Schizosaccharomyces pombe: one gene and its partners. The gene in region 1 interacts genetically with each later gene. Each region holds a gene or a part of one and is shown in the gene's direction. Other genes may lie near its edges.

The links.
Region 2: of tor2 (region 1) and npr2, changing one suppresses a phenotype caused by changing the other (phenotypic suppression), as found in Schizosaccharomyces pombe (3 studies listed by BioGRID, with this or other methods).
Region 3: of tor2 (region 1) and tsc2, a mutation in one rescues a mutant of the other (synthetic rescue), as found in Schizosaccharomyces pombe (4 studies listed by BioGRID, with this or other methods).

Annotation. Positions count from the first base shown.
Region 1 is NC_003423.3:920,585-931,663, reverse strand, and holds the start of tor2 (TORC1 serine/threonine protein kinase Tor2), read left to right. Parts: upstream 1-9,311; 5' UTR 9,312-9,379; coding exon 9,380-11,079. Other genes in the region: squalene synthase Erg9, read left to right, coding at 1-604; mRNA cleavage and polyadenylation specificity factor poly(A) polymerase Pla1, read right to left, coding at 852-884, 926-1,019, 1,059-1,176, 1,220-2,675; gta1 (glutamyl-tRNA amidotransferase alpha subunit), read right to left, coding at 3,306-3,648, 3,696-4,521, 4,568-4,814; protein Cwf11, read right to left, coding at 5,085-8,939.
Region 2 is NC_003424.3:2,489,320-2,500,398, reverse strand, and holds npr2 (Npr2/3 complex subunit Npr2), read left to right. Parts: upstream 1-2,836; 5' UTR 2,837-2,972; coding exon 2,973-3,480; intron 3,481-3,523; coding exon 3,524-3,660; intron 3,661-3,701; coding exon 3,702-4,286; 3' UTR 4,287-4,555; downstream 4,556-11,079. Other genes in the region: RING finger-like protein Ini1, read left to right, coding at 5,081-5,090, 5,132-5,185, 5,257-5,503, 5,543-5,585; guanyl-nucleotide exchange factor Sec73, read right to left, coding at 6,288-9,536.
Region 3 is NC_003424.3:369,125-380,203, reverse strand, and holds tsc2 (Rheb GAP, tuberin Tsc2), read left to right. Parts: upstream 1-6,072; 5' UTR 6,073-6,239; coding exon 6,240-10,259; 3' UTR 10,260-10,363; downstream 10,364-11,079. Other genes in the region: gluconate transmembrane transporter inducer Gti1, read left to right, coding at 1-2,012; transcriptional corepressor Tup12, read left to right, coding at 3,088-3,211, 3,273-3,360, 3,758-4,110, 4,374-5,521; SPOM_SPAC630.12 (lipid phosphatase), read right to left, coding at 10,364-11,079. UniProt on the Schizosaccharomyces pombe protein: Together with tsc1, required for uptake of various amino acids from the environment and for proper conjugation. Involved in induction of gene expression of permeases and genes required for meiosis upon nitrogen starvation.

The DNA of each region.
Region 1 (11,079 bases):
TGAATGTTTATCTGATATGACTGCTAATGCTTTAACACATGCTACTGATGCTCTCGTTTATCTTTCTCAATTGAAGACTCAGGAAATATTTAATTTCTGTGCTATTCCACAAGTAATGGCAATTGCCACATTAGCTGCAGTTTTCAGAAACCCGGATGTTTTTCAAACTAATGTTAAGATAAGGAAGGGTCAGGCTGTCCAGATTATTCTACATTCTGTAAACTTGAAGAATGTTTGTGATTTATTCCTTCGTTACACCCGTGATATTCATTATAAGAACACTCCTAAAGATCCCAACTTTTTGAAGATTTCAATTGAATGTGGAAAGATTGAGCAAGTATCTGAAAGCTTATTTCCACGGCGCTTCCGTGAGATGTACGAAAAGGCCTATGTTAGTAAGTTGTCTGAACAAAAGAAGGGAAACGGAACTCAGAAGGCAATTTTAAATGACGAGCAAAAGGAATTGTATCGAAAGGATTTACAGAAACTAGGCATTAGCATTCTTTTTGTATTTTTTATAATCCTTGTATGCCTTGCTGTCATTTTCTATGTGTTCAATATTAGAATACATTGGTCAGACTTCAAAGAGCTTAATTTGTTTTAGTCCGTAAATTTAAAAAACTTAAATACTGGTTCAATATCGATAATATACAAGCAGTTTATTTCCTTAATTACTCTATGAAAATTGAAAGCTGTTTTGCTAAACAGAAGACAATTTAGAACTTGATTTTTGATCCTGTCTACAGATAGTGACTACAATTAATATAGGTTGTAAGATAAGACCACAATGAATGATGAGATATACTCGTGAGTGTTAAGCAAGCAACGGTTTGAGTCTTATGTGTGGGTATTTATGCCGTTGAAACTTTTTGTCGTTTTAATTGCTAAAGATCGTTAGAATGGATAGCTAAATCGGAATTCTTACCTCTGTACTATGTGCAGTGTCAGCAGTGGACCTCTTCTTAGTAGCTTTCGGCCGTTCTTCTCCAGGTTCGAAAACTTCATCAGGTAAAGCAGTACTAAAATGTGTGAGAGTGTATATATATAAAATGACTTACTTTTTAGTATTCTTAATGAAAACGTTCATTAAGGTGTCATCATATTTATCCCATTTTTTGCACAACTCGTAAAATTCTTGGGTAGGCCAAGAAATATCAAGTCTTTTAATTGGATGACCTAATAAAGTTAGCATAATTAATTTCAAAATGTAGTATCTTGCCTTTCTTCTTTTCAAGTTCAAGCCCTATATAACATGTTGTAGTGTAAACAGGAAAAATTTGTTTTTCACCATTTTCAGAACCATCAGCTTTACTCTCAGTATTGTCGGCTTTCTCTTCATTAACTGTATCGTTGGCTAATTTTTCATGATCCGTAGATTCATATGCGACTTCAAGAGTAACGCCGCTAGCTACTTGTTGAGCTTCTTCTTCACTGGAGCAATTATACACTTTATCAAATCCTTTATTGAAAGGATGTGCCAAAGCAATAGCATCAACAAGCTCCAGTCTAGTAACCAAATGACGAAGCTTAGATTCAACCAAACCTGCCCACTTCAATTGAGCTTCAGCTGTCTTAGCAGCTGCTGTGATCGTAAGATAATGCTTATAACGATGAAAAAAGTCGTGTTTTTGAAACAAAGCTGACCAGGGAAGAGCCTTGACCATTATTTGGTCAGCAATTTCTCCAGCCCGAACCATTTCGCGAAGGATAATTGTTTGGGTGGATAAAGTAATGTTATGAGTTGCACACATTGATGGATAAGCCGGGGTTATAATTGGCATACGGTGAGCTTTGTCGGATGGATAAAGTTTTGGATTCCAGATACGTACTTGTAAGGGGCCATCTTCAATGGGCTTTAACAATATTGGTTGAGGCCAATTCCATTGATGAAGAATACGAAAAAATTTAGCAACAATCACAGAAGATACTGCATTCGGATATAGTTGGCAAATTCGAGCTACCATCATGGCCCAGGCGACTCCTCCAGGAAATCCTACGACATTAGCGTATATTGCACGACGTTGAGCCCAAAACTTTATGGCTCTTAAAGCATGCTTAAAAACAGCACGATTAGGGACAAGCTGCAGAATCTGATCCGTAACACGTGTACCATTCAAACTTAGCACACATCTTTCTTCAACACCCTTTAATAAGTTATTATCAGACAATTCGAGGTCGCGGGGAACACGCGGAACTGAAAGACGAGCAAAAATTAAATCTATACTTATTCCCAAAAATTTAAACTTAATAATAGGAACATAGGCGTCAGGTACAGCAGCAAGGTCAGTTACCTCTTCTCTTTCTCGAAGCATAGGTTCCAAGTCCTGAAAGAAATTGTCGCGAGAAACATGCTTGGGTACAACGACTAGGGTATCTATGTCTGATCCAGGTCCATAAACGCCCAGTCTATAACTTCCGTACGTAAAAATTTTCCCCCCTGCCTCATTAGCCATCTTTTCGTTCATATGTTTGGCAAGTGATACTTTCTTTACAAATTCTGTCGTTATTTGTTGCAACTCATCAAGAACCTTTACTCTTTTTTCAGATTCGGCAGGAGATTCAAACAAGTTTTGGTTCTTCAACTCATTAATTAAAGCCGTATTCAAAGCATTTTCCTGTTCAGTAGCAGGTGCAGTACTAATTGGCGGTGTAATACCCCATTGCTTGGTAGTCATGCTTTGAAAACAAAAATTGGAGTCTTGAAAGGTAGCTGTTTTAAATTATCCTAACCTTTAAAAACAACTGGTTTAAAGCGTACTAATGCTAAATGTGTAGATCTGGTTAGCATTCGTTTAGGATTTAAGGCATAAATACGCAATTTCACAAAGTGCGTTATCTTATTATAATGTCAAAAAATTCATTTACAGTTGCACTGAGACATTTATTTCGATTAAATCAAATTTAATTTATCTGGTAAATTATACAATTGTTGCTGTTTATCATATATATCTTGACAGTGCACTATGTTCATTATCTGACAAACCGATTGCTCCTGGTTTTGTATTTAAAAGCTTACCCGTTAAATTCCATCCTTCAGATATGCATTTTTTTTGGTTGAATAAACTAGCGACTTGAAATGTAAAAATAATTTATGTTGCTGAGAAGTGTAAATGATTCAGAATCCACATCTATTTATTGGATTTACCGCAGTTGTAGGGAAACTGTCGAATTATTGATGACAAGTTCTCCAAAACTCTTTGCAAACAAGTTTCAATGTATGAAATTGATTCCAAACAGTAAAGAATTATTATGCTCATAAAGATTATCATAGCCATGTTTCGAGAGTTTAGATAAGCAGCCGAAATCTATGCAAACTGGCCTGCAAAAGACAACAAATCTTCGTCATTAAGATATTGGGCCATAATTTGAATTCCCATTGGAAGCCCATTGTTCAAAGTACCGAAAGGTATGCTAACGGATGGTATTCCAGCCATATTCGCTGGAACTAACATAGTATCTGAAAGATGACTATAAGAGGACGGGGTTTCAATGGGTTGACTGGAATTAAAAAAAGAAGGGGTAACTATGAAATCGATGTCACCCCTGGGATCATCGACAGAAAAGGAAGGTAGAAAAAAGTTTTTGTTGAATTCCAGCTGTATGGCTCGGCGAACGTATCGAGCCTTAGAAAACAAATCAGAGGAATTCCTATTTGTAAATATTAGTAACTACTTAGTAAATCAGTTATATCATACATTCTTGCTAGTGAATAAGCGCCTAGCAGTAGCCTCTTTTTCACTTCGTCTCCTAAAAAAAAAGAGCGTGCAGTAGATGAAATTATTTCCTCTTCGAACTTTTCATCTAAACAATTGCCAAATGCGATAGTATTATATTTAGCCAAATTTGAAGTCGCTTCTGCATAAGCCATTGTGGAATATACACTGTTAGCGTATAATGAAATTGGAAGCTGTATTTCTTGGACAAGATAACCATTTGATTTCAGAAGAGATATGAATTCATTCCACTTATCTAAAACGTTTGGATGAGTCTCAGAAACATTCCAGTCAATTGGAATTCCTATTTTAATTGGCTTCCGCGATAATTTTTTGTGCTGCTCTTTAACAAAATAACGAGCTTCTTTAGTTAAACAGGTTGAGTCATTTATGTCGGGATGGTCTAAAACATTAAATACTTTGGTAACGCCCTTAACATTATTTGCAGCGATACCCACTGTGTCAAAACTATTGGCAAAGGCAAGCATTCCATATCTCGAAATCCTGCCGAAAGATGGTTTAAAACCTACACAACCTACGTAAGCAGCAGGTAGACGGATTGATCCTCCTGTGTCTGAACCAACTGATGCATAACATATATCCGCCGCGATTGCAGCAGCAGCTCCTCCCGAGCTGCCCCCAACATCGTAATTACTATCCTTAACAACAGGATTAACAGTGCGACCAAAAAGATTGTTTTCGCTCTTGACTCCCATTGCAAACTCATCCATATTTGTTTTACCAAGAATAATACCGCCGGCTTTCTTCAAGCTTTCGACAATTGACGCATCAAACGGAGAATTGTAGTCTAGTTAAACCGCAATTAGTAACTGAAATATATTCTTATTGTCTACCCTTCAACATATTAGAGGCTGCCGTGGTTAAATTTGTCTTCGTGCAAATATTTTCCTTTACTGTAATCAGTTTCCATTTTAACGGAAGCTTCTTTTCCAGTGGTAATTTACTAATTTCAACAAATGAATCATATAGATATTCGGCACTATTTATTGAAGTTAAAGACTTAATTTTCGCATCATTTAGAATGATACTAGCATATTTAGCTGCAACTTCTTTTAATAAATTGTTATATTTATTACTCATTCGACCAATCAATCATTGGACGTTAACTTCGTGCAAATAATGTATTACCCAACTTGTTGTATAGTTGAATAAAGTAGTGAGCTATTATCGGTATGACACCTAAGACTTTTTCTGAGGGGATCAACTTTTTATTGTTTGTAAAGCTCACTATTTAGTTTTTTAAATAAGTTAATTATGCAAAAAAGCAATGAAATAAAATGACTTTAATCTTACAAATAATCATTAATTCAATACAACAAGCAAATAGTCTATATGAAGTAGGTTTTTATTTTAATTCGTATTTAACCTTTTTTTAGTCATTTCAACAACATAGTTTGAGAGATGAAGTAAATTTTCAATTTCAAATGTTTCAACGGAAGATCCGATTTTGTGAGAACTTGGATATATTTCTCCCGTGGTTAAAAGCAGCTTGTCAGGAGTCTTTTCAATTTCATTCCACAGTTTTTCAAGACCACGTGTAGAGCGAAAAAGGTCACGGTTGCACAATACGTACAGACCATATGAGCATGCTGAAAAGGCTTTATAAAATGTTTTTGGATTCCAATGATCAGAGGCCTCTTTAGATTCAACTGTCGTAAATATAACAAAGTTTACCCGTTTATCGCTTGGTAATTTTTCCACGGTACCTACAAAAGCAGGCTGACCAAAAAACGAGTTATGAGAACAGCGTACCGATATAATTTCATTTAAAAGGCTGACTTGACTCTCATAAAGCGTACAGATTACAATTTCGTTGGTGGGATAACCTAACATTCGCATGTACTGGAATAAGGCAACTGCGTACTCGGCTTCTCCAAGATTTTGCTTATAACCGCTAACGGGTTCTGTTTCTTGAGAACCTTTAAAAGCTCCCACATTAATAAATTGGACCTCATGTGCAAACCCCGAATTACCATAATCAAGTCTTTTATTGGGACTAGAATCCACAGTTTTGATGTCCAAAGGATAAATTGATGAACATAGAGAACTGATAGATTCTCTAACATTGTATTGCGTATTAAGGTCAATAATTCTGGATTTCAAATACCGCAAACGTTTGAAAAGTGAACCATTTGACGTATTATTTATATCCTGATTCCCAGAGGTAAGATATTGATTACCCAGAAGAACAAGGCGATCAAAACCAGTTGGTTCACAGTTTGAAAGTAGTATGCTAGTGATAGAGCTTTCACTTATATTTTGTGAGTTCATAACAATTAAATTGTTAAAGCAAAATCCCTTTTCTTTCAAAGTCCCTAAGCGTGTACTTAAGCTCGTCCAAGTGCATCCGATAATCCTAGATTGTTGGCATAATGCATACAATTCTTGATCTTCATAATATCTCAGTAATCCAAAAGGCCGGATCTCTTCCAGCTGTTGGAACATATATTCTAACTCCCCGTATAACTTTGTCGCATAATCGAAAAAATTATCTTTATTATACGTTTCTATCGGACGCTTAGATTTGTCACCGAAATACGAATGGAAAGGGAACCTGTTATAGGCATCCACAGAATCCTTATCATCTACCGTGTTCAAGTACTTTTCCCAAAGTCGCTTAATATAAGCATCCCTAAAATACAAAGCCGTATCTGGGCTGGCGTCATGAGAACCTGGAGCCTGGATTGAAGCAGCTAGGCGACCGATTTCTCGTAGAAGACCAGGAAGCTTAGATATCCAAGACGATAAAGTACCATAACGTTCCAACGTTTCGTCTTTTCCTTCATCAGATAGATATAATAGGTGCCCTTGGTGAAAACATCTAGCTTTTTCCAGTAAGGTAAACAAAGTATTCATAGAGAAATTGGAGTCAGAAAGTACAACGGTTCTATCATTGGGAGATGTGTCTTGTAAAACCTCTAGAAGTTTGCATACCAAAACATGTTTTCCACAACGAGTTGGACCATTAACCATAGTTAATCCTGGTTGAGATCCACGTAAAATCGATTCTAGCTGTTTGTCATTGTAAGTATATAATCGATTTGATGGTAGTAAAAAATGCCTATCAGATGCGGTAACATCAGCTGATATTTTGTTCTGATTAGTATAAAATTTGATTAGTAAAGATTCAGTTGATAAATTAGAAGGTACATGACAATTAGGAAGTACTGATTGCAACTGTTCGACTGTATTGAACAAGTTTCTAGCATAAATAGAATTAAGCCCAGCATTAGGAAAAGCACATATATCAGGCGTTCCAAAACCCAAAAATAAATCTTCGAACCATTTAGGAAATTCTTTAGCGCGATTAAGTAAAGATACAAGAATATTTAAGTCCAACCAATACTTATTTGCCTCAGGAGACAGTACCAAAGCAAAGTTGAACTTCAATTGCTTAGGGCGATATTCCCCCAACCCCGCAAGGGAATGATAATAAAATGGGCTTAGGTATACATTGATGGACTTGTTGTCAGAATCTGACTGCATATCGCTTTGAAACATTCCAACATCATCATTGCATATCGTCGCGATTGTAAAATCAGTCACCCCTTCTAAGGGGTCAAGCGCATTACCATGTAATAACTTGTACTCCATATCTTTAGAAATGTATATTAAGCAAAGAAAAGGGCTCTTGATGGAATTCTTTAAATCACGTAACGCTGAATGAAAAGGTCCAGGTCGACTTAAACCCATTTGACACTTTACAAATTGAGGTAAAACTTGACCGATTTGAGGTGGAGCAACGGAGGTAACTTTAAAGTTATTTAAAGAGAAAAAATTATCTTTGGTCAAATTCTTGGTCGCATTTTTAATTGATAGTCTCCTGTATTGTTCACTGAAATTTAAAAGTTCAGCATATAGTGACCTTAACAATAACTTTTTGTAAGCTTTACTCTGTTGTCTCATAAAAAAAGATATAGAAAGATATTGTATAGCAGTGTTTTGTAGTAGGAAGTAATTGGTCAAAGAGTTTTCTTGGTCCATCACGGATCGCTCACCAAGTACATCTTTCAAAGTAAAATTTATGATTTCATCATAATCATTTACCAATCTAGTCCTATCATACGTGTTAATAAAAACATTTTTTAAAAATTCGAAATCCACTTTTATAGCATATTTTTCGGGAAATGAAGTCCTCAAATAACATTTACTACACAAGGACTTAAGTGAATTGAAGGAAAGAAAAGACGTAATTTCCTCCAATTTTTGTCGCTGTTGTAAAGAGGTTTGTGTGCAAAATACCAGATCCCCTAATTCCTTCTGAAAATCCGAAAATAAAGTTAACTGTAAGTGGTAGTACACAAGCTCATCATTTCTGATTTTTTGTTCTTTCTCATATTCGTTACCTCTGGTATTATCAAAAGGGAATTTCAAAACATAGTTTAAGTCGTCTGTCATTTTTTTAAAAAGCTCATTACTGTCGTAATACAAAGACATTCTTAATGCGGTATAAAAACAACTGTCTTCTATTACGGGATGAGCAAAGCGACGTGTGGGAAATGCGGATAGTAAAACCAAAGACATATTGATAATTGCTAAAAGGGGGGTTACTTTCGCTTCTTGTTTTTCAGTTTGAGCGTAGCTAATCGATTTAATAAGCAGAGAATGAATCCAGCGGGAAAGTAAATTATGTAAAGGGAACTTTTCAACGATAGACGGTCGTTTTTCCTTATAAGAATCAAAGGCTTTCGTCAGAGAGCTTGAGTCATGTAGTAAATATTTTACTTTATCAAGATTATCAAGCGAATTTAAAATAGAAATGTTCGTTAACTGGTAAACAAGTTTCCTTAATTTCTCTATATTCGAAAACTGAAAACAGAGAGTAATGAATTGAATCATGTAAACCACTTCTGATAAATTTAAGGATAAAGAGACTTCAATTACTTTTTCAAAAAATAATTGAAACCGATTTTCATCAATGAGGTCCCATGTAATATATTCATATTTGGATTTGTATAATAGAAGCATACAAGTTAAGTTTATATGGTTCAATGACATCTCAGTATTAACCCTCTGCCAAAGGAAATTCTCAAAAAGCTTTAACTCATGTAACAGACTAAGTACTTGCTTAGCATCTTTACTTACAATGACAGCTTCGAGGATGCATTGTAGCATAGTTTCTTGAAATTCTACACCTTCATTTTGACCCCAATTCGAATTTGCATAATTAATGATTTGTTTTTTTTTGTTTTTATACAGAACCATTTAATAGAGAAAGGGATATTAGCAATATCACAAGTGTTGTGAACTTGGTGGTTAGCGTCAGAATCTTTAACAGCGATTCTTATTTGTTCTCCTCTATGAGCTTTGAGAAAAATGTAAAGTAAAAAACTTAAAGTAATACTTCGAAAATAAAATTTAGATAATCAACACTCGTTTTTGGTATTTTACCAAAGTTCCTAAGTTTAGACTTTTTTTAATAAAACTTGGATTTTTTGAGAACACTAAATATTAACTTGTATATCTATTACAAATAATTAATCGTCATAAAAATATTACTTTTTCAATCGTGTTTCTATTGATCTCCTCTCTGCGTATACTAAGAATTAGGTGCAAAAGTACAGCAGGTGCTTGTTTGGTCACCACCAACCACATTTAATAATTTTGTTTAATTGAGAGAATGATGCTAATTTAAGCTGTATATAATGAAAGAATTTCCTGGGTTGAAAAGCAGGAATGAAGAAATTCGCAATAAAGCGGCAAATGATCTTTATGAATATGTTATAGCTTATTCTCGAGAATTATCGGGCGAAGCTTTAGTTCAGTTTAACAATGATGTTAACAAGTACGTTTATACTTTAATTCACAGTACCGATCCACTCGATCGTCTGGCAGGCGTAACTGCCATAAATCGTCTAATTGATTATGAAGGAGAAGATACTACAAGGATTACTAGATTTGCAAATTATTTGCGTATTATTCTTCCAGGAACTGACCAAAAAGCCACCGTTCTTGCTGCAAAAGCTTTAGGGAGACTTGCAGTTCCTGGAGGTGCTCTAACTTCTGAATTTGTGAACTTCGAAGTTAAACGCGCTTTGGAATGGCTTCAAGGAGAACGTAATGAAAATCGTAGATATGCAGCAGTGCTTATACTTAAGGAGCTTGCCAAAAATACGTCTACATTAATCTATGCTCATATCGATTCAATTTTTGAGCTTTTATGGCATGGACTTCGGGATCCAAAAGTTACTATTCGAATAGCTTCGGCTGATGCGTTGAGTGAGTTCTTGAAAATCGTTAGGCAAAGGGATTCATCCATCCGTCTCCAATGGTATACAAGTATTCTCAATGAAGCTCAACGTGGTGTTGCACAGGGTTCTTCTGATTACATTCATGGTAGTTTACTAGTATATCGCCAATTATTTTTAAAAGCTGGAATGTTTATGCATGAGAGGTATCGAGAAGTATCGGACATTATATTGCAATTCAGAGATCACAAAGATTTGCTTATTCGCAAAACCGTTACAGAATTGATTGCTACACTCGCAGCTTATAATCCAGATGAATTTGTTTCCAATTATTTACACGTTTGTATGCTCCATCTACTTAATCTATTAAAAAAAGAAAATGTTAAGATGTTGGCGTTTGCCACTATTGGAAAAGTTGCCGTGGCTATTACTAATAGCATAATCCCATATCTTGACCCCATATGCGATTCAATCAAGGAAAGTCTAAAAATCCATATCCGTAATAAAAGTGCTTCGGATGCTGCAATTTTTCAATGCATTAGCCTACTTTCTATAGCACTAGGACAAGCCTTTTCAAACTATGCGTATGACCTCTTTGACTTAATATTTGCAAGCGGACTTTCTGAGGCTTCTTACCGTGCTCTCTCAGATCTGGCCCATAATATACCTCCATTATTACCAGTCATACAGGAACGACTATTAGATATGCTCAGCAAAATTCTAAGTGGTCGTCCTTTTATTCCTCCAGGATGTCCTCCCCAATATGTAGCAAGATCTTTAAAATCTTCAAAGAGTGCTTCCCTGAAGACAGGATTTTTTCCCAATGACGTCTATATTTTGGCTCTAAAAGTTTTGGGAAATTTTGACTTCTCCGGTTATATTCTTAATGAATTTGTGAAGGATTGTGTAGTTGTATACCTTGAAAACAATGACCCGGAAGTACGCAAAACCGCCTCCATAACCTGCTCCCAACTATTTGCTCGTGATCCTATTTTATCGCAGACTAGTGATCATGCGATTCAAGTAGTTGCCGAAGTGCTAGAAAAGCTTCTAACAGTTGGTATTTGCGATACTGTTCCAGATATTCGGCTAACTGTTCTTAATTCTCTCGATTCTCGCTTTAACAAGCATTTAGCCCAAGCAGATAAAATTCGTTT
Region 2 (11,079 bases), on another chromosome or scaffold:
ACAATAGAGAAGAGAAAAAGAAGAAGAAAGTTTAATCGTCAATCGGCATACGAGGCTTAGGAGAAAACAAAGAAGGAGAAATACCATCATTTTTTTGCTTTTCTTTAAGGAAATGTACTAGTGTTCAAATGGTTAGTGAATTTCTTAGTAACTGGTTTAGCATCACATACAGTACTCTTTCAGACCCTTTTTAAAATTGTGAGAACACGCAAAACCAATTGCAATTGTGAACAGTAAAAGGAGAAGAGTGATAACCGAAAAAGTGGTAATCATCTGCTTTGAAGAAGCATAATACTCTTTCTGTGTTGAAGTATACATCCGAATTATCTTGAAAAGGATATACGGTATGCCACATACGTAAAAAAATTGAACTGTCATCATGAGAAACATATTTTCAGAAGACACAGAGTTGAATGATAAAGTTAAAATCAATACCGTAAGCGGTAATACCAAAATAGTAAGTACGAATTCGACAACAGCATCCTCCGGTAGAACCATCACATATTGTACTGTCACTCCCAAAACTAGAATATTAGCTATTAGGATATAAATTTTTGAAATTGAGTAAACTTACAAAAGTATATATCAATCTTTAACAAAGTCACGTATATCTTATAAACCAAATATCTCCTTCGCATGCGTAGTTCAGGACCTATTTTTTTGTAGATGACCCATCCATACGCTTTGTTCATTCCATGTGCAAGGAACCCTAACATTACACTTGCTACTCCAAGGATTACCGGAAGCGCAATTAAGAATGGTTTGATTCTCTTGGGGACTTCAAGTATAAAGTAAATGCCCTCATTACCTGCCTCATGCCTATTCAAAATTAGCGTTATAGGATTAAGAGAGGATTGTGTTTTGGAAAGAAAAACTTTCTGAATCTCTGCTAATTCTGAAATTTGAACAATGGAATAAATAAATAATGCGACATGAATGCATAGCAATCCGATGATCTAAGGATGTTAGCACTGTTTAAGAATTAAACTTAAATCCCGCTTGCTTTTTCTAGTTGATAAAAACGGATAGCTTAAAATTCACGTACCTCAATTATATTTTTTGAACTTAAAGCTTCTACGCATAAATATAATATAAAGAAGCATGCAAAAATAAATAGCGTTAATGAAATAGGCAAACTGTCAATTCCAAGATTCTTTAGCAATTCCACAGTACGGAATTGTCCGATACAATATCCTTCAAAACATATTATCAAAAGGCATTCTAGTATAATTACTGTCAAAAAAAAAAATTGATGTTTTTGGAAGTGTCTTCAAGAATAATTTACATCGGCTAAAAGCTTCATAAGTTGTTTCTCTAAAATTTGTAACAGACTGTTCAATTCGATGTTTAAAATCCCAAAACATTCAATTTGGCCGGGTGTGGTAGTGCCTTTAATGTATAGTGCACTCGGATAAACACGTAAATATCACAAGCTAATGTATAAGCGATGACAATTACATAACAGTTTTATGAATTGCGATTTTAACAGAATTATTCAAGTTTTGTTTAAATGATTATTAGATATTGCAATAAAATATCTCGAGTATACTTAGCTAGAGCTGGATGACTCGTCAGTCTTTATCTCACTGAGGTACGTTATAATGATCAACTTGAAAGTGAAGCGTATCAAATTAAAAACAAAAAAAAAGCCATTAACGGAGGCCCTTCAAACTTCAAGCAACTAATTTTGTTAAGTTGTCAAGTTTATGAAAACTCTAAGGATATATTGCTTATAAAAAATAGGAAGGAGAAAACCAGGCAGAACCTGTTTATTTACAAAACGATATAGTAAGAATGAACTAAAGCTCATTAAAAGAAACCAAATATCCTAAAAATTAAACGCATCCGCTCTTTTCGCACTTTAATCTATTCGTTTTAAGCTAAACAACTCGAACAATTATCGAGCTTTCATGCACTTATGCCTAATTGAAGTTTCAATGATTTGACGTATTTTTCGTTGCTTTCTAACAGCGAAAAAATTCACTGGCTCAATCACAATTTTCCACTGTATCTCCTTAATTTATCTTTTATACAGTCAATATGGCTTGGTGCCTCATTATTTTAATTTTCTGTGGAAACTAGCGATTTATATCTTCAAATGTTTGAAAAGATAGGAAATCAATTATAGTAACAAAACAATTCTCTCTCTCTAGATTTATATATGGACAAATAATTGACTCAGTGAATGGATAAAAGGTTTTACAATTATCTAGCGGTTTTGTGATCTTTTTATTTAGGTTTAAGTTAAGCGAAAGCTTACGTTAAGAATTAAGCAGAAGTTGTAATAATACTGCTTTACACAAATTTAGTTTTAGTATTTGAATTCTAGCGTAAAAATAACACAAATACTTTTATTAAAACTTCCTGTTCAGTAAAAATTTGATTTATCCGACTGAAGTCTATTAACTATCGTTTCAAAGATTAACTATTTTTATATGATTACTGTGTATACTGGATATTACTAGCGCAGTTATCAAGCAAAAAGATTAAGAAAATCAAGTTTTATACTTTTTTAAAATCTTTTAACCCTAGAGGCTGCTAGCATCTGTTATCCATACGAAATAATCCTTAATGTTAATACAGATATGATTTTTATCACCTTATTAACATTAATGATGTAGCGAAATGTGGCTGTAGTCAGGAAGCTTTGACGTTAAGAATCAAATTTGTATAATTTACTGACCCAATGTACACAAGTGTTATATGACTTTCCATCTTACCGTTACATCAATGCAGAAATCTGAATATTGTTTGTAAATAATAAATTCATTAGCACAACTACTTTTCTGGGTAGCGTACAAAGATTTATATGGTTTTTGAAGTTAGTCCCCAAATCGACACTTGCACATAAGCTTTTGCATCCACCAGTAGGGGCATAACGAAATATTAAAATAAATATCTTACAAGTTTTAGCTTCATAAATTAAAGGTTAGATAAAAAACTCGGAAATTTTTAAATTCTTTAGCTTTCCTATGGAGTATTCTGAAGAGGGATGGATGGATCAAGCTGACAGCTTTCCGCCTCGTTTATTGGCAATATTTTTTGCATTATTTGATCCCTTACAAGGCCCTATAGTAGCTTGTGAAGCTCCTGCTGGATCGGTAACAAATGTTGATGGTGGAAAGAACTGTCTTTTACCATTCGAAACTATTTCTGACTATGTGATTCCGAAACGCGAACTTTGCAACAAAACAATTACTGTTTGTACTAATCATTATCAAGTCATTGGACATCCAATATCAATTATAGGTAGCAATTATGAGAGAAATGCTTTGATTTTCAACATGTGTATGATTTTTCATGAAGAAGAAGATTCAGCATGTTATATACCACTAGTAAAGCGACTAGCGAGAAATTTAGAGGTCTTAGAAAAGCAAATTCATTATATATCTGATTTGAACAAAAGACCTGTAATTTTCAGCGTAATTGAGCAAATTTTGGAGGACATGAACAACTTTTGTGAGTGTATGATACAGCTAGGTATGCGCAATTATTTCATTCGGACTTTAACTAACTTTCTAAGACGACCAAAATTCTATTAATATCAAGCTTTTTCCCGTTTTTCCTTCTCCTCCTACTGTTAAAAGTTTTCATGTACCAATTTTAACGGCTCAGTTGGATTTACTCATGGACAAAAATTGGGATATGACTGTTCAAAAGGTACTCTCTTCCAAAAAAATTAAAATTGACTAATTTTTTAGGTTTATCCTTTTATTAATGGCATAAACTCAGTTCAAAGGATTGCTGAATTAGCTAATGTTAGCTATAGAAGTTGTCAAAAATGCATGGAACACTTTCTATATTACGGTTGTCTAATTATAGCTGATATTTTTCAATTCCATAATATTTATGCTATGACTACTAATGCTCCTAACCTTTTACAAGACCCAGATTTTCAAAGAGAATGTACGGCATATGTATCAACTAACAGCTCTAATGCGAAAAACGTTACTTTTGCTACTATTTTCAAACTGTATTGTAGTTTAAGGCAAGGACTTCGTGTTAAGGATTGGATGAACGAGAACAAAGAAATTTTCAAAGGTTTAGACGTTCGAAGGCTAATCTCGTTCGGTACTATAAAAGGGCTAATATATCGTGTGCATAAATACCCATACTTAGAACGAAGGACTATGAGGAATAACTTAACCGAAGAAGAGAAAAAACTGCTTGGTTTGCTGGATGGAAAGCACCATTTTGATGAATTGTGTGTCACATTGAAAAAGTCTCCAAAGGTTGTTAATGAAATGATTGCTGGATTGGGTGATGCCTGTTTTATTTATGTATGAATAAAAAAAATAGTCTTGCGATTAGTCTTGTTATTTTTTCGGATGATCGGAGCTATAGTCGTTTTAATTTATCTTCATTGCGAGTTCTGCTGTCAATTTCAAAATTGTCAAGTATAGGATTGGAATACATTAGCATCATATTTATGACTATGAATAAATTTGAAGATATTATCAAAACACTGCAATTTACAATGGTTGATTATCTGTAAATTGGCCTGTTAGGGAAAACGATTGTAATTGTGCCTTTTGTTTATACGCTGAAACTTAAGAATCTAAATTTTGGTTATCGCGTACCTAATTAGAAGTATTTAACACTTTATTTTCGTCATTTATTTGTTTTACTACAAAGAATTATTTATTCTACAAGATTACCATGAAAATTGAATTTCATCAATACATCAGTAAACATCGACTACTGTATGTCCATTGATCATAAATTCATAAATGTTAATAGTAGATTTTATTTCTATTTTACTTTATTGTTCAAAAATTCCGTAAATATGGCGCAACAAAAAAAGATCCTCAGCTTAATGGAGAGTATATTTGGTACATACTTGCAAGCATTATTAATACGTTGTTTATAATAGCACTTCAACTGCTAACGCGCATTTTCCGACTTGTTTATGCCATTGCATGGCTGTATTGCAGCTTAACGTATCCATAATAGCGAGTACGAAATTTGAAATCAGAAGAGGATGTTTATATTTTACTAAGCATAACGTAACGCGAAGGACCGTCGTAAATTTACTATATATATCTGCTGCATTGAAATTAATCCTCTGAGTATATTCACAATGTCAAAGCGTATGGAAATAAAAATGAAATTAAATACTAACGTTTATTAGATCATCCTGATTTAGTATTATGCAGAAGACAACCAGGAATTACTGTTGGAAAGTGTAAGTGTAAAGTGTTCTATAATTTGGCATAGTTAAATAATTGGCAGATTCTAATACTCATGAATATACAGTATGTGAACGATGTGACGAAAAATGCCCTATTTGTGATTCTCATGTAAGGCCGACAACGTTGGTGAGAATATGTGATGAATGCGCGTTTGGTAGCTCACAAGACCGATGCATTATTTGTGGAGCTCCAGGTGTTTCTGATTGTTATTATTGTTCGGAATGCACACGTATGGAATATGATCGTGATGGTTGCCCTCGTGTTATAAATCTTGGTTCCAGTCGGACGGATTGGTTTTATGAACGGAAAAAGTAAGTTAACAATTTGCATCGCATACTCACCATTTTTAGGTTTAAAAATGCTGGAAAAGAAATGCCGGGTGCAACGTATTAATAGTACATCTAATGGTAGACTTGTTTCCTAATTCCACTAATTTCCGGTTATGGTATTTATATTATGTTTGGTGCTTTTTCATTATTTTCAATTTATAACTTACTATGCTATTGATTGTTTGCAGCATTATTTAATTTTTGGGTATTAATATACGAAAACAAAAAAATTTTTATAACTCGTATTCGCTGAAAAGCAAAGAAAAATAGTTTATACTCTTTTTCGTCTTTCTACATGCGGTGCAGAATTATTTCGAAATGTAGTACGACATTTATCAATGAACTAAAAATTGTTATTAGAAGTTAATTAGACTCATGTTTATTCATTATCCACCTATTCCTTTAGTCTTCTGTTTTGTGGATCATCTCATAATCCAAGTAGCTCGACGGATAAAATATATAATTAACATAAACGCTTAAATTTTTCCACATATTTAAGAATTGCCATAATACATCAAAATCGCTACCAAATGTTACGCTCTTCAATTAATGTTCTTAAAGCATCGTAACTACAGCAATGTGTACTTTCGAACGGCTAAGAGAGATAAAATTTATTATTATGGATTTAGAGATAATTAATAAATAAAGCGGGAATCCTTGTCTATACGCGGATATGAATTCAAATAAGAAAAATCAAAAAAAAAAAGAGAAATCACTTTAGATGAACAAATATTTAGATAATAGTAGTTAACATTTGATATACATGCTAATTATCAGAAGTAGCAGAATGCCATTTCGATAGGCTATTCATACTAAACTCATCATGTTCCTTATATGGATCCGTGCGAAAATCTTCTGATGAGTACAGGTTCAAAGCAAACCCGCTATCTGTATCGTCCGAAAATGTTTGCCATTGATCTAAACATGTAGTCACGGAACCTAAGCTAGCTGTGTCAGCTAATTCATCATCAAAGGCTTCAATTTGAAGCCTCAATTGGCTGGGTTTACCGGGCGAGCTTTCGCTTGTATCTTCAAAACCAAAAATATCTTCGACAGGCTCATCTTTAACATTGTCCGAGTAAACCTTTGGTGAAAGTATTTCAGGAGTAAAAAATGTCGATGAGGGGTTTTCGGGGTTGCCTTTCAAGTTGAAATTATTATCAGGATCCAAAAGATGCGGTACATCTCTATCTGATGATTCTTTTTCAACATCATGTGTTTGACGATTGATTGAGTTGATGCTCGGATTTTTTAGGGTGCTTGGGCTTGTCGAAGAAGGTCTGTCGTCGATGTCATTAGAACTTTCAAGAGAAATGCATTTATCTAAATCAGATTCAAACCGCAATACTTGCAATTGTGACTCCATTTTTCTGATTTCCAAATATAATGATTGCGCTTTAGCATCGACCTTTTTAAGGGCTTGTAAAATAACTACTCTTGTTTTCGGCTGTAGGGGTGCACATGTCGATAAATTTTTGGCATTTCTTTGTAATACCATGAGTTTCTTATTGAACTCAGTAATAGATGTTTCAAGTTGGTCAATACGTGTCTTAATTGTCCGGGCACGTGCAATTTCCATATCCTGTTTCATTTGAGCTTCAATTGCTGCTAATTCTTCCTCCATATACTTTGGATAGCAAGAAAAGTCTCTTTTAGGATGGTAAGAATCACTTACAGGCATTCGCAGACCAGCTGTACGAAGTGTTGAGATGTAGTTAATTTTAGCTACCCATTCTATCATGCTTTCTTCTGTTGGAGCACAAAGAGTCTCTTCAGATCCATCCCGAAATATGACGGTAAAAGAACAATTGCGTACATTCTTCTTATCTCTGTCACAATAGGCAAACGCATTAACAAGCGAATAACTGGTATCGGGGGAAAACTCTTCTAGAGGTGGAGTAAATACAAGCGGAGGAATTTTTGGAAATTCATATTCCATAGCCTCTGTATCTATACCTTGCAACGTGTCAAAACTGCTCGAGGTAGTTGTAAAATTTTTGTAACGCCTTTCATAAGCTTTCTTTTGAGCCATGAGATCTTTAGCCCATACCAAATTACGAAAAAAAAGTATTCTAGAAGCGGTCAACAAAACCAAATGCTCTTTGTATGAATTGTGCCCCACACTTCTTCGCTTCTTTTCACACCGTGGTAAAATGCCCAGCATACTGATACTAAAATCAACTAGTCCCGGGTCAGCATTGTCTGGTAATCCAATAAAATGATTGGAGAATGCCATTGGATGAGATCTTTTAGAAACAAGCTGAATTATCGCAGGGCTGGAAATCAACTTTCTAACGTTCAGCAAAGACGCAATATCTTTGATACCTGGAGATATGAATTTTCCATCATAAGAGAGAGATATTTCAGGCCGTGAAATATTCAATTGATTTTCTAACGTAAATGTGTAAGGAGAAAGCCCTAACCTTTTACGAGATGTGAAATTGTACTTTTCGTTCTTTTCCTTCTCAATGAGAAGCAACTCATCATCCAGGTTGACAAAAGGAGTAAAGGTAATATTGTCATAATAATACTCCATTATCTCCGGAGCTAATTCATCTATGTCACAGAGATTTATGAATTCCTGCTTCGTCATTTTATGCTTATTATTTGAATTAAAAACGTCAGTGTGGAGCATCATCAAAGAAAACACCAGAATGTAACACTGATCTTGGGAACTGAACATCCCAGGGTTACATTCAAAATAGCGCTTAGAGAATGCATTGATGACACGATCAATCTGTTGAGTTTCCTTAGGAAGGTGAGATTTAAGTAAAAATAACCGCAAGCAAAAATCCAACGGCCGATTTTCAAACTCCATTCCCGACATACAAAGGTGCAGAGCTTTGTTCAATGTTACATGATCCTTTTCTGCTAGAACAGGGATCATACGACTATAAGGAACTGTCTCTCTAAGCTTTGAGAGATAACTCTCCGCAGTATCATCTGCTGTGAGCTCCGGAACAGAAGAAAGAAACTTGGTCGGATTAGGCTTAATATCAGAAAATAAAGCCGAATTTTCAATAGTCTGAGCTACGCATTCGTCATCATCCCGGCGCAAAGTTCGAAAACTAAAAATACTAGAACGGTTTTCTCTCAATCTTTCTAAAGTCCTTTGGGTAGGAATCGTAGAACTACGAGGCCGTGACCGAGAGCTTTGTGGCTGTGGTTGTTCAACATCATTAGGAATAGAAGGCGAACGATACAACCGGAGGGAACCCACAGAAGAAGAAGGTGATGGAACGTTAGAAGTCTGATCGCTTTTATCAACTGGCTTAATGTAATCAGAAGATATGGAAAACTGGATAGGAGGTCTTTTTACTACAGGTAAAGAAGCAATGCGTTTCCCCAGGTCGGACATTTTGACACTACTTTTCCGAGTACCATTCTGTAAAATCGTATTATCAGATTCCGCTGACAAATTCTCATTTTGCTGGTTTAGAGGGCCACCAGCTTTATCGAGAGAACCAACTTCAGAAGGAGAACTAGTAGTTGAGTTAACATCGGGATTCCAGGACTTCCTAGACCACTTCGGAAATCGAAAAAATGATCGAGAAGCACGAAGTTTCGCCGAGTTGATACTAGATGGTGATTTCAAAGAAGGATTGGAACCGCTTAGGTCTGTCGAAATAGGAGACGTGACATCTTTTGGAAAATTGGAATCGTTTGAAACGCTTTGACTTGAATACGATGCAACAGGAGAATTTGCTTGCTGCAAATCCGAAGACCAGTTGTGGTTGAAGTAAAACGAGTGCTTGGCTCTTGCGATCGGATAAAAAATATTTTTTTTCTTAGAAGAGGGCGAATTACTCAAGTCGGTCTGTGAATTACTTGTGAAAGATCCGCTTGACTTTAGTTTACTGTTATGCTCATTTAGTTTTTCTGAACGTTTGGACAGATATGTCTGACTAGACTTTTTAAAGAAAGAGGAGAAACTAGAAGCGTTAGGAGAATTTACAGTGGTATCCTTTTCGGATTTATTTGAAGACTCCTGGCTGGAAGGAATTCTGAAGGTCATTTCGCGCCTCGGCGCATGTAAGTTGAAGAAAAAGAAAGACTTAAAAAAGATTGAAGTAAAGAGAGACCTCGAAAATGAAAGGAAGATTCAAAAAGAAATGTAATGTAAACTTAAGTCAGGATCTAAATTTATAACAATTGGAGACAGTAGATAGATTTGTCGACTATACGAGGATAAAACTGACTGTAATAAGGAGAAAGCAACCAACGTATTACCTTTAATGAACAGATATTTTTTCCCGAATAATCAAAAGAAAAATCAATTGAGAAACTACCGAAGCGAACGAACAAGGGAAAAACAATTAGTGATTAATATAATGCATGCAGCATGGAATGAAATGAAATGAATGAAAAGTAATGAACTGGAAGGTATGGAAGATGAAAAATGGTTATGAACAAAGAACGAGAAACTGAAACGAAGATGTAAAAGTGAAACTTCTGTGAGACGGTTCAAATGAATCGAAATTTTTTAAAAAAAAAAGCACAAAAACCAAGTGTGATCTGATTTAGGCAGCGCAGAGCAAACCGAATAAGCAAAGCAACGAAAGTAAAATGAACTCTAGTAATTTGAAACCCTCAATGGAAATACGAACACAAAATTAATGAGCAAAAGTCATGTCCTTGGGTTGATAGCAGGAAATTTAATGAATCGTCAATTGCTAACCAATTCAACTAATTAATTTCCCTAGAATTTTAATAATGAGTACAAGTTTTGGTGCTCCAGAAAAAAGAATTGAAAAGTAAATACTAGTTTTGTTGGTTACAGTAGTGTTATTTGCTCCGTCCACAACATGCCCGTGTCTTTATCGCCCAATGCATACAAACCCGCCCACCGCAAGGTATTCTGCCACACCCTTCCTCGTATGACCAAATCCGACATGGTCTGATAGAAACGTAGATAGCAAATGGCTAGCACGATGTTCCTGATAATCTAATGGGGCAAATGGCACCATAATGTAGTTTATTTTTTTATTTCTAATGTCAATGATTTAGAAAAATTTAGTTCGCTATCGCAAGTGCTTAAGATACACTACTTCAAAATTATAAACATAACAAATATTTTTAACAAGCTCAGCTGAACATGTTTCTAGGTTGCACCCTTTACTCATTATAATAATTTTTTTTTTAAAAATTAATTTTGAAAGCAAATAGCAACCAGATGTGGCAATAAAAAAAGTAACAAGTAATTTACCCACAACAGAAAAATCTAGGTATTTTTTATAATTTTAGAGATGCTTTTGTTTTACTATATACATAATTCCTAACTGTTCATAAAATTTATTTAACCACTTTACCAAATATTTTGTTTACATACCAATTGAAGTACAACCAAACCTGACCATTACAGTTATTGATCGTGCTCAATTTGTATATTGTTTTATAATGACTTAAAAAAGATTAAGTGCAAACATCAAGTATAAATTAAGATACTATGCTCACAAATTAGTGCCACAATTTTTGTAATAAGGCTAACTCATTCTTAGTAAATTTTACTTAAAAAAGAAGAAAACGAAAAATTAAAAGCACTTTTATTTTTCTAATAG
Region 3 (11,079 bases), on another chromosome or scaffold:
CGGGAAGTGTGTTTGTCTTTGATGAGGTTCAGTCCGGTATAAAACGCTGGACCGATGGTATCGCCTGGTCTCCTTCCAGGGTCATTGGCAACTTTTTAGTGTACAGGCAACTTTGCAAGAAGAATTCCGTTTCCGATCGTAAGCGAAGCTCAAAGTCTCGCTCCGACAGCGACGAAGAGGAGGTTTCCGCTTTTACCGTTTCTGTTCCTGTCGACGTTGACGTTGCTTCCCACGTCAATATTAGTTCTCCGTCTGCTCCTTCGCTTAGTGACAACCTTTTTCCAGGTTCTTCTTTTTCTGCCTCTTCTCAGCAGAATCCTTCCTCCCCTGGCTCCAATGACATCAAATCCGAATTTGCCGCTGTTAAAAATGAATATGTGCTTTCCCCTACTAGTCCCACCACAAGTGCTGCGTTCCCGTCTTCCTTTTCTTCGTTGCCCCTTGTTTCCTCCAAACCGACTGGTACCCCCTTTGTCCCCAAGTCTCCCCCGTCCTCATCTCCATCCACCACCAATGTTTCCAATGCTTCCACTTCTTCCGCGCCCATAAATCCCAGGGCCCCTCAGACCAGGCGTGAATCCATTTCTTCCACTTCATCCATCCATTACTGTTCCTCCTCTTCCCTTTCCTATCTCCATGATACCGAAAGAGCCTTGGTGGGCTCACTCACCGACTCTTACGGTTTTAAAAAGAGTGGCCTGATTAAAAAAACTATCTCTTTAATGATTGATGGTCGGCTTCACCATCTCATATCTTATTATACCCCAGAAGACGTGCTCAATGGGAAACTTCAAACGCCCAGCTCGTTCAATTTGTTTCAACAGTTAACCATTTCAAAAGATCTATTAGAGTACAAAAGCTTCCGTATTCCTCCTTTGGTTGAGGCTGCGGAATCTGAAAAGATTTCTCAATTGAGTACGCTAGAAAAGCGAACTCTTCCGTCTTTTCCTTATAACCCTTTCTTCTCTTCCTCCACTGCTGAGATTGATCCTTACCATTTTCAGGGTCTTACTCTTTCTACCTCTCCGATTTCTGGTGTAGAGTCCTCTTCTCTCTCTTCTGCAATATCTAGGAATCAGTCTAATCTTTCATCTTTTCAACAACAGCAGCAATTTTCGGCTTTGCAGTCAATTTCAAACAATGCCTTAAATGAAAATATTGAGCAGCCTCCGATAAAGATGGCTGCTCGTCATTCCTACCCAAACTTTTTACAGACTCTTCCACAGTATATGAATGATGTTTATAATCCATCCGGATTAGCCTTTAACCCTGTGAATCCCAATGCTAATAATTCATTTGTTAATTTGAATTTAATTCAATTCACATCACCATCTCAAGCTCTGTTCGATTACGGAGAAGGTCCTTATGTCGACCAAAAATCACAGTATTTGCAGCCAAAACAGCCGTCTTCTAACACTGATTCAATTGACCAATCTTCCTATAACATGTCTCTTGCTGCTTCCAAACAATTTTTAACGTCTGACACGCAACCCGATGTCAATGAAAATTACTCTTTTATTTCCAATTCTATCCCAAAAAACTTATCCACCTCTTGGAACCAGAATATGGGTTATCATGTAACTAATTCAAACTCAGAACTGGCCTCTCAAAACCCGCTTTATGCTCAACAGGCCGTGTCAATGGAGAGTATGGGCAATGCCATTCAGTCAAGCGCTTATTCCGCTATGTCGACTCCGCATGGAGGTCATTATGACCACTATGCCGCCACTGCGAAAGGTAAAAATCCTTTAGCTGCTGAAAACCACGCTTCTGGTGGTCGTTTACCCAAGGTTCCAATTCCTCCACTCTCGAATATGCGTCGAGGATCTGTTCCTATCATACCTTCATCTGCTTCTTTACCAATGCGTACTTCGGGAAATCGATTCTGTCATTATTCTTCATTAAATGGAAATCACAATCGAATTTCGGCACGTACGAATCCTTATCCCATTAACAACCAAACGATGCTTTTTACTGAACCACTTTCAAAAGAACGCGGCTCCTTGTCATGATTACAAAAAAATTCTTACGAATATTAAGTTTTGTGAGGTTTTTTTTCTTTTTTTTTTTTAAATGTCTTAACGTTATGTATTAATCCTTTTATCCAACTCTTGTTATATGTGCCATATATAAGTAAAAACATTCCATTCAAGTAATGTTTTTTTTATGTGTTTACTGCACAGCTCAATATCTGTTTTTGTACTATTTGCTTTACATTCTGTTCATGTTAGTGGTAGTTTTCAGATGCTCTAGGATAGCTTTTTCCACCAGCAATAACTTATTCTTCAAAGCGGCTTTAAAATTGAAGTTTTTGCGAGTAGCATACTAAATGAATATTTATGCCAAGCAAACAAACCCTTTCAATAAATCTAGGAAGTGTATCATAGTAAATTAAGTCAATGGGCTGAGGAGCAGGCCGTCTATGGCGTATGAAAATTCGAGACTAGTTTCTGGAAATAGCATATAGTGTTTTCAAAGTTATTCACTATCAAGATGAAATTAAATTACGTTAACTTCTATGGAATTCATCCTTAAAGTAAGTTTGTTTCAAAATACCCATAAAATAGTTTTCTTGATTGACTTTAAGAATTCATATTAGGATTATGACATCTACACTTTTGTAAAACTAAACTTCCAATAAAAACCAATACCAAATAATGTTTTATTACCAATTGTATCAAAACGCTTCATATTCTTCCCAAAAAAAAAAAAAAAGGATCTTCTATCTAAAGATTTTCAAGGTTTTAGAGTTAAGATATTTCACGAACTAATTCAAAAAGGGTTTCAATCGATTAACGTTAAAAAATATGTTTTACGAGGTTTCATCACAAATTAATGATTTTACATTTTCCAACTGCGGCAAGTTGAATGAACAGCCAAATTACTAATTCAACAATATTGTCTCGCTAAGCATAAGTGAAATTGTCTTTCCTGACATGTTAATCTCAACATAGTTTGCTTACTTTAGCTTCGAAGCCGAGAAGGTTTTACCGAAATTAACGAATGTTATTTCTCGTTATTTCTCAAACAACATCATTCATGATTACTGTCCGCCAATTCACTTTTACCATCTTCAAGTTTCAATTTATGGCGACGTCCAATGTATCATCACGTGTAAATGAGCTTTTAGAAGCGGTTAAAAAGGAATTTGAAGATATTTGTCAAAAAACTAAAACCGTTGAAGCTCAAAAGGATGATTTTGAATATAAAGGTATCTTATACAAGAATTTGCTGACAAATTTGCGGTACAAATCTAACACTTCTTAAATTAGCAATGATATCTGCACAAATTAATGAAATGGCGCTCATGAAACAAACCGTTATGGATTTGGAGATGCAGCAGTCTAAAGTGAAGGATCGGTATGTCAATTTTCCTAATACACGCTTGGCGAGAAGGTTTGTTATATTAGTACAAGGTTATGCAATTATTGTGAGTGTTGTAGAGTCTTACAAAAGCGATTCCTCTCTAAATATTTATACAATTTACGGTCGTTGACGATAAATCTTTAAAGATGCTAAATAATGGTGGCTCCTTTGATGGGAGTAAATTCTATTAAGTAATCTTTTCATATTTTTACTCCGATGAAGGGTATTTCGTTTTTTACTCAGTATTTGGATGTTTATCACTGTTCGAAGATTCTCTGTCCTTTTCACACTTTTGTCAGCACCAGCATGCCTTCTGCTATGTGAACATTTATTCTCAATTTTATATTATATTTTCTCGAAAGCTATCTTTCTTGTTACTAACTCTCTCTAGTTACGAAGAAGAAATCACCTCCTTAAAAGCTCAACTGGAAGCTAGACGCAAAGAAATTGCTTCTGGCGTCGTCCCACAGTCTTCGAAAACTAAACACGGGCGCAATAGCGTTTCTTTTGGAAAATATGGAAATGCGGGCCCTTTTAACTCGGACAACTCCTCGAAACCTTTGATACTTAATAACGGTTCTTCTGGAGGAACTCCTAAAAATCTTCGATCACCTGCCATTGATTCAGATGGTACTGTTTTAGCTCCTATTCAGACCTCGAACGTAGATCTTGGTTCACAATATTATTCCAGTCCTCATGTACGCCCTGCTGTGGGTGCAACCATGGCTGGATCTGCTATGCGAAGTAAGTTCAAGCTTGCATTGTAGCTTTTGGCAACAGCATTTGTTTTTTGACTTGATCAAGTTTATAGATACTTTTTGTCTTTCACTTTATTGTTTGCATCTGGTATGTTGTACACCGTATGTTCCCAGACAATTTTTTAATGCTGTCATTAATTCGTTTGAATTCCTTGCGGCTTTTGTTCATTTTTTGTAAAACAAAATACTATTGCCGAAACTATTTTGCTTCCTCGTTTTAATTTGGATTTTCTTACTTACCATTCACAGCATTTCCTTCCAATTTACCGCTCGGACATCCTCCACCTCCATCTGACTCAGCTAATTCTTCCGTCACACCTATCGCTGCTCCTTTGGTTGTAAACGGAAAAGTCTCAGGTAATCCTCCTTATCCTGCTGAAATTATTCCGACATCCAATGTGCCTAATAGAGAGGAGAAAGATTGGACTGTCACTAGCAATGTACCTAACAAAGAACCCCCGATCTCTGTTCAACTACTTCATACACTGGAACACACAAGCGTTATTTGTTATGTAAGGTTTAGTGCCGATGGAAAATTTTTGGCTACGGGTTGTAACAGAGCAGCTATGGTTTTTAATGTGGAGACCGGTAAATTAATTACGCTTCTGCAGGAGGAATCTTCGAAGCGTGAAGGTGATTTATATGTTCGCAGTGTAGCATTTAGTCCTGATGGTAAATACCTTGCTACTGGTGTCGAAGATCAACAAATCAGAATATGGGACATCGCTCAAAAACGTGTTTATCGTCTACTGACTGGGCATGAGCAAGAAATTTATTCCCTTGATTTTAGCAAAGATGGAAAAACATTGGTTTCTGGTAGTGGAGATAGAACTGTTTGTCTTTGGGATGTTGAAGCTGGCGAGCAAAAACTAATTTTGCATACCGATGATGGTGTTACTACAGTAATGTTTTCTCCCGACGGTCAATTTATTGCTGCAGGTTCTTTAGATAAGGTAATTAGGATTTGGACATCGTCCGGAACTTTAGTAGAGCAGCTTCATGGTCATGAAGAGAGTGTTTACAGCGTTGCCTTCTCTCCTGACGGAAAATACCTGGTTAGTGGAAGTTTGGATAACACAATTAAGTTATGGGAGTTGCAATGCGTCTCCAACGTTGCACCCAGCATGTATAAGGAAGGCGGTATTTGCAAGCAAACTTTTACTGGACATAAAGATTTTATTCTAAGTGTCACTGTCTCTCCGGATGGAAAATGGATTATTAGCGGCTCGAAAGACCGAACCATCCAATTTTGGTCCCCCGATTCTCCTCATTCTCAGTTAACTCTCCAGGGACACAATAACTCAGTAATATCGGTTGCTGTTAGCCCGAATGGCCATTGCTTTGCTACTGGTAGTGGTGACTTACGAGCAAGAATTTGGTCTTATGAGGATCTGTAAGAACTAGCGATGTTTCATTTATAGCATTGAATGACAATGTCCGAAACCTACTTAATTTTTTAATTCTTCATTTGCCAATAATGCCCATTGACCATTGTGAGACTCGCTTCTTGGCAAGTCTTTTTTCCTTTATTTTATAAAAATTCATAACCGATTTTGTAACCCTTCAAACTTGCGGCTTATTTTGGTCGGAATTTTTCTATCAAGTCAAGCCGACCAGATGTTTTTGCTAATTCTTGAATCATTTCAATTCCCTTTTTTTAATTTTTGATACTTCCATACAATCCCCGACAACCGAAACTCTGATTTTATCCATAGTATTTCATTAACTATTAAATCCCAACTTTTGTATATATTTAATAGACCCTTCAAGTTATGTATATGTTTGCGCGACCTAGCTACTTAGCAATTGGTTTTTACGGTTAAATAACTTCATATATTTTTTGAATTTTGAATGTCGAATACTAAGTTTCTATTTATTAGTTTTAATGTCGTTTCAACCTATTCCTCTTAGATAAGGTAATGCTTCCCCTAATTCATAGCAGCCTGTCAGCTCTCCTCCCCACCCCTACCAGTGTAGCTAATACTTGAAATCAACTTCCATGCTCATAGTTTATGATCTTGAATATTCCATTAAGTTAAGAGTTCAGATTTGCTTTATGTGGTTATTCTGCTGAAGGTCCTAATTTATTGACGTTGAAAAATAAAGGCCACATAGATGAACAATAAATCACTTTTGGATCTTTCTAGTGAGCCTGCTATCAAAGATACAGACATTCTATCATATTTTGATGCTAACCTTCCTTTTAAAAAAAGGCATCAGATTGTAAGGAGTATTTACCATGGCTTAAAATACTATATATATTCATCGACTTCTATCATTCAAGTATGGCAAAATATTCAGGATTTTATCTCCACCAAAAACGATAATGCTGCTTTTCGGGAGCTTGTATACAATCTTATGATGAGATATGTTTCTACACAAAAGCATCTCTCGATTATAGAGCGCCACACTTTTTTTCAAACTATTGAGAAAGATCCTTTTCAAGATATTGCTGAATTACAGCTTCGGCTTAAGAGTTTGAGTGTTTTAACGGATGAAGGGCACAAAATCTCCGGTATTGAGAATAGGGTTGGTCCTTTGTTGAGTGCATGGTTTAACCAGTATCTTCAATGGCAATCTCAAGCAACTGAATTGCAAGGCAAAGACGCAGATTCAAAGCTCGTACATTTGCTTTTTTTTAAAAGCCTTTTTAAGTTTTCTACCAACTTAGTAAAATTTCAGTGGTTCCTAGTGCCTGAACCTCAAATGCTACAGCTTGTTAATTCCGTGGTACAAATATGTAATCACGCTCGCTTAGAAGATGTGGTTACTGAGGTTCTGATGTTTTTTGATTCCATGATTCGCTACTCGGTTATTCCAAAAGCTTCACTGTATGATACTGTTCTTATTTTGTGTAGCACATACATCAGCACCTACTCATATTCGAAACTTGCACAATCTGTTATATTTAATCTTATTAGTAGTCCCGTGTCAAATCTGGCTTTTGAAAACGTATTTAATATACTTCAATACAATCGCTCGAATGTTAATGCTGTACGGGGCGCTGTGCGTTTAATGCGTTTTCTCATGCTGCAAGAAGTGAAAAATGATGCAATAGCTTCTATAACTTTAAGTTCAAGTATTGAATTTACTGAGTTTCCATTAGGATTTAATGAGAATGTTGATTTTGAGATCCTTGGTACTGTGTATCTTTTTTTACGTACACCTTCTATATTAAATCGCCTTAATTTTTTGGATTGGCATCGGATTCTTAATATTTTAATGTATTGTTCACAATATCTACCTTTGAAAGCTAGTACATCGAAGGAAGCATTTTCGAAGACTGCAGCATTTGCTAATATATATGATCGTGTTTTGGATTTTTTGGATTTCGAAGCCTTGATTCCACTGCTGCAACAATTTCAGGTTAAGCTGGTATTCTTTTTGAAGGATGTTCTTCCAGTGTTAAAGCCGAAAATTCGAAAAAAACTTTTACGTCTTTTTGAGACTTACAATCTTATATTTCCTTGCAATCAATATTGGGTATTCAACCTTGAATTTTTACTTGGTATTTACCAATGCAAAACATTTGATCTTGAAGATCGAGCTCTTTTATTTAAGCTTGTGGAAGATGCTTGCTCTGTTGCTGATGAAAATTCGGCCCCCATTTTGTGTTCGAAATTCCTTTTTCCAGTAATTGAAAGCTTTTCTAAGGAATCTGATGATTGTGTTGTTTCTCCTGTATATAATATGTTGTTTTTCTTGTCTGTCAATTTTCAAAACCCGGGACTTAAGGATTGTATCGATCATATTTTTCAACAGCTAATTTCCGACACGAGCTCTGTTACTGTTCGCAGACTTGCCACGAGTACATTAATTCGTCTTTTTTATTATTATTATGACTTAAGGGATGCTGTGCCTATTCAAGAAACACTGGCTAAAATGTTAGAAATCTTGGAGACTCCATCTTTCCCTTTTGTTTCTCGAATGTTGTGTTTACAATTCTTTCTTCGATTTCGAGCAAATGGGACGTCTATTTATATATGTGAGAATATAGATTTGAATGAACCCTTCAAAGTCTTAAACGTTGATTCAGAACTGATTCCTGCAGTTTATCCCATTTCTGATTCTTTTGTTAACTCAGCAACAGTAGAAAAGCATATTTGGGAACGAAAAGAAAACGATTTGATTAAAATTTCAAATCATTCTACAGAATATGGCAAGGACTTTGTAACGTTCCCAACGTCTTCCTTGTTAAGGTTTTATCGAAAATCCATGGCTACAGAGTCTAACTGGACTATCCTTATGTTCATGATTACCCACCTTGCTGATCAAATAAGTAATAGGAGTATGTTTATCGGCGCATTAGAAGAAATCTATAATTTACTTGATTTTATGTGTGATATCGTTTTTGAAAGAGTTTCTATATCTGCTGAAATTCCTTCTAATATTCGTAAGGCCAACATCATGATACCAATCTTGCAAAACGTACAAATGCTTTTTGTTTATCATGATCAATTCAGCAGGGCTCAGGAAGATGAATTAGTCAGCGTTTTTTTTGCAGGGTTGCAAAAATGGAACGAAGCATGTCATGTTTCTATTCATTCACTTATGTTATGCTGTTATGAATTACCCGTTTCAATTCGAAAGCAGTTACCTGCAATTTTAGTCACTTTGTCAAGGTTAATCACCAAACCTGATTTGAGCGTTCACATTTTAGAATTTTTATGCAGTTTAGCAAGATTACCTGATCTTATTGCAAACTTTACGGATGCTGACTATAGACAAATTTTTGCAATTGCTTTGAAATACATTCAGCACAGAGATTTCACTAAGGAGTCGAAAGATTCAAATGATACGGAGAGCATATTAAAAAACTCTTACTCATCATACGTTCTAGCTCTAGCCTATAGCGTGTTACAAATATGGTTTCTTTCGTTAAGATTAACTGAGCGTAAAAAATTCGTACCTTGGATATTGCGTGGACTGAAGCTTGCTTCTGAAGGTAAACCATTGGAAGATTTATGTCTTGTTCAATATGACATGATGCAACAATTTTGCTATTCTAATTCCGACATCAATAACCAAACATCTACTTTTGTTGACTCAGACGTGGAAAGTGAAACTTGGATTCGTGGTAATTCACTCTTTACGATAAACGTGTCGGTAAACTCTGGATTCTTAGAAGCTGTCATTCGTCGCCCGACAGGTACTACGCAGTATACTTTTCGAAATGAAGCAAGTCTGCAAAAGTTTTTATGGGAGGAAAATCTCACAAGTTCAAAGGCTCTTACGAGGGGGCTTTTGTGTACTCCTAGCAGCTTTGTCTCTCATTTCTTGGATCCACATGGTATTTCTTTATACAATCAGCCTCTTCTGCTTCCCTCTAATGATGATTCTGTGCGTAGGGCTATAAGTGTTTTTGACCGTATTCCTGTAATTGAATCACTGAAGGCTGGTCTTGTGTACGTTGGGTACCAACAGCGTCGAGAAGCAGACATATTGGCAAATACAAATCCTTCTGAAGATTTCCTTACTTTTCTTAACGGTCTGGGCACATTATTCGAATTAAAAACAGATCAAAAAGTTTTCGCTGGTGGTTTAGATAGGGAAAATGATATAGACGGTGCGTTTGCGTATTGTTGGAAAGATAAAGTTACCCAAATGGTGTTCCATTGCACTACAATGATGCCAACTAATATAGAACATGACCCTGGGTGCACATTAAAGAAGCGTCATATTGGAAATGACTTTGTTACTATTATATTCAACGAATCTGGTTTAGAGTACGACTTTGATACAATTCCTAGTCAGTTCAACTTTGTGAACATTGTTATTACCCCTGAATCCGAATCTATCAGAAGAACAGGGCGTCAAATTAAATTTTATAAAGTTAAAGCGTTGACCAAATATGATATTGACTTTAGCTTATTCCGTCGTTACAAAATTGTTTCAAGCGATGCATTACCGGCAATTGTTCGTGATGTAACTCTGAACGCTGCCGTTTTTTCACATATATATCATCGCAGTGCTGGTGATTATGTTCATATATGGGCTGAAAGATTACGACAGTTAAAAAGATTACGCGAAAAATTTCAAGCTTCAGTTTTACCAGAAGACTACAATCTCGACGAGCAAACAAAGACCAAGCTTCAAAATGGCACGAATTTTTCGGACTTTACTAGTTATTTATGAGCCATAAGGGCATATAAAAAGTCCTAAATTAAAAGATTGATTACGATTGTGCCTTGCCATCATTAATTAATTTTTTTTATTTAATCTTAAATATTATTTATAGATCAGATAATGAAGATGTTAAGGAAGATGAATAAAAGAAACGGTATCCATGTATATGAGATGAATGTAGAAAGGGTTATGCGCACAATTTTTTTAAACAAATGAATTGTTGTTGACAATGAAAATCGGCGTGCATGAGTTTTGTAAAGTGGGAGGCTATAACGGTCAGTTCCAAAAAAAAAGATAGCAGTCCTCAATAATATAAGAGCAAAAAAGATGGATATAGAAGCACCATACCAAACATAAATTTGAATTTGGTTAGGAAGAATGCATAACTTTGTCTGATAAGAACTTTTTTGATCGGCTTTAGGGTTGTCATAAGGATAGTTCAATGAGAGAAGTTGATATCCCGGATATAGTATGCCGCTGGTCATAGAAAATGCCTTCACATTATATTCCGTGGTGGCTGCTTCTCGAGTATCCACCTGGTAATTATGCACAACTTCGCAATAATCGTGATCGTCTCCAGCAAATGCGGCAATTGGTTCAACAGCTTTTAAAATAGACTCGGAAAGTTCTGGCAAAAGCAAGTTTTGATACTGATATCCCAAACCATATTTGATAACATCATCTTTTTCACGAAGCTCCCCGCAAGAATTGATGGCAGGGCGAAACAAAGGAACGTGAGATAGAAGGATCCTAGGTCTCGAGTTGTCCTTATTTGTTTCAAAGCTTTTTAAGAAGTCTCTAGCCGGTTGATAAACTTGGGGATTGACGT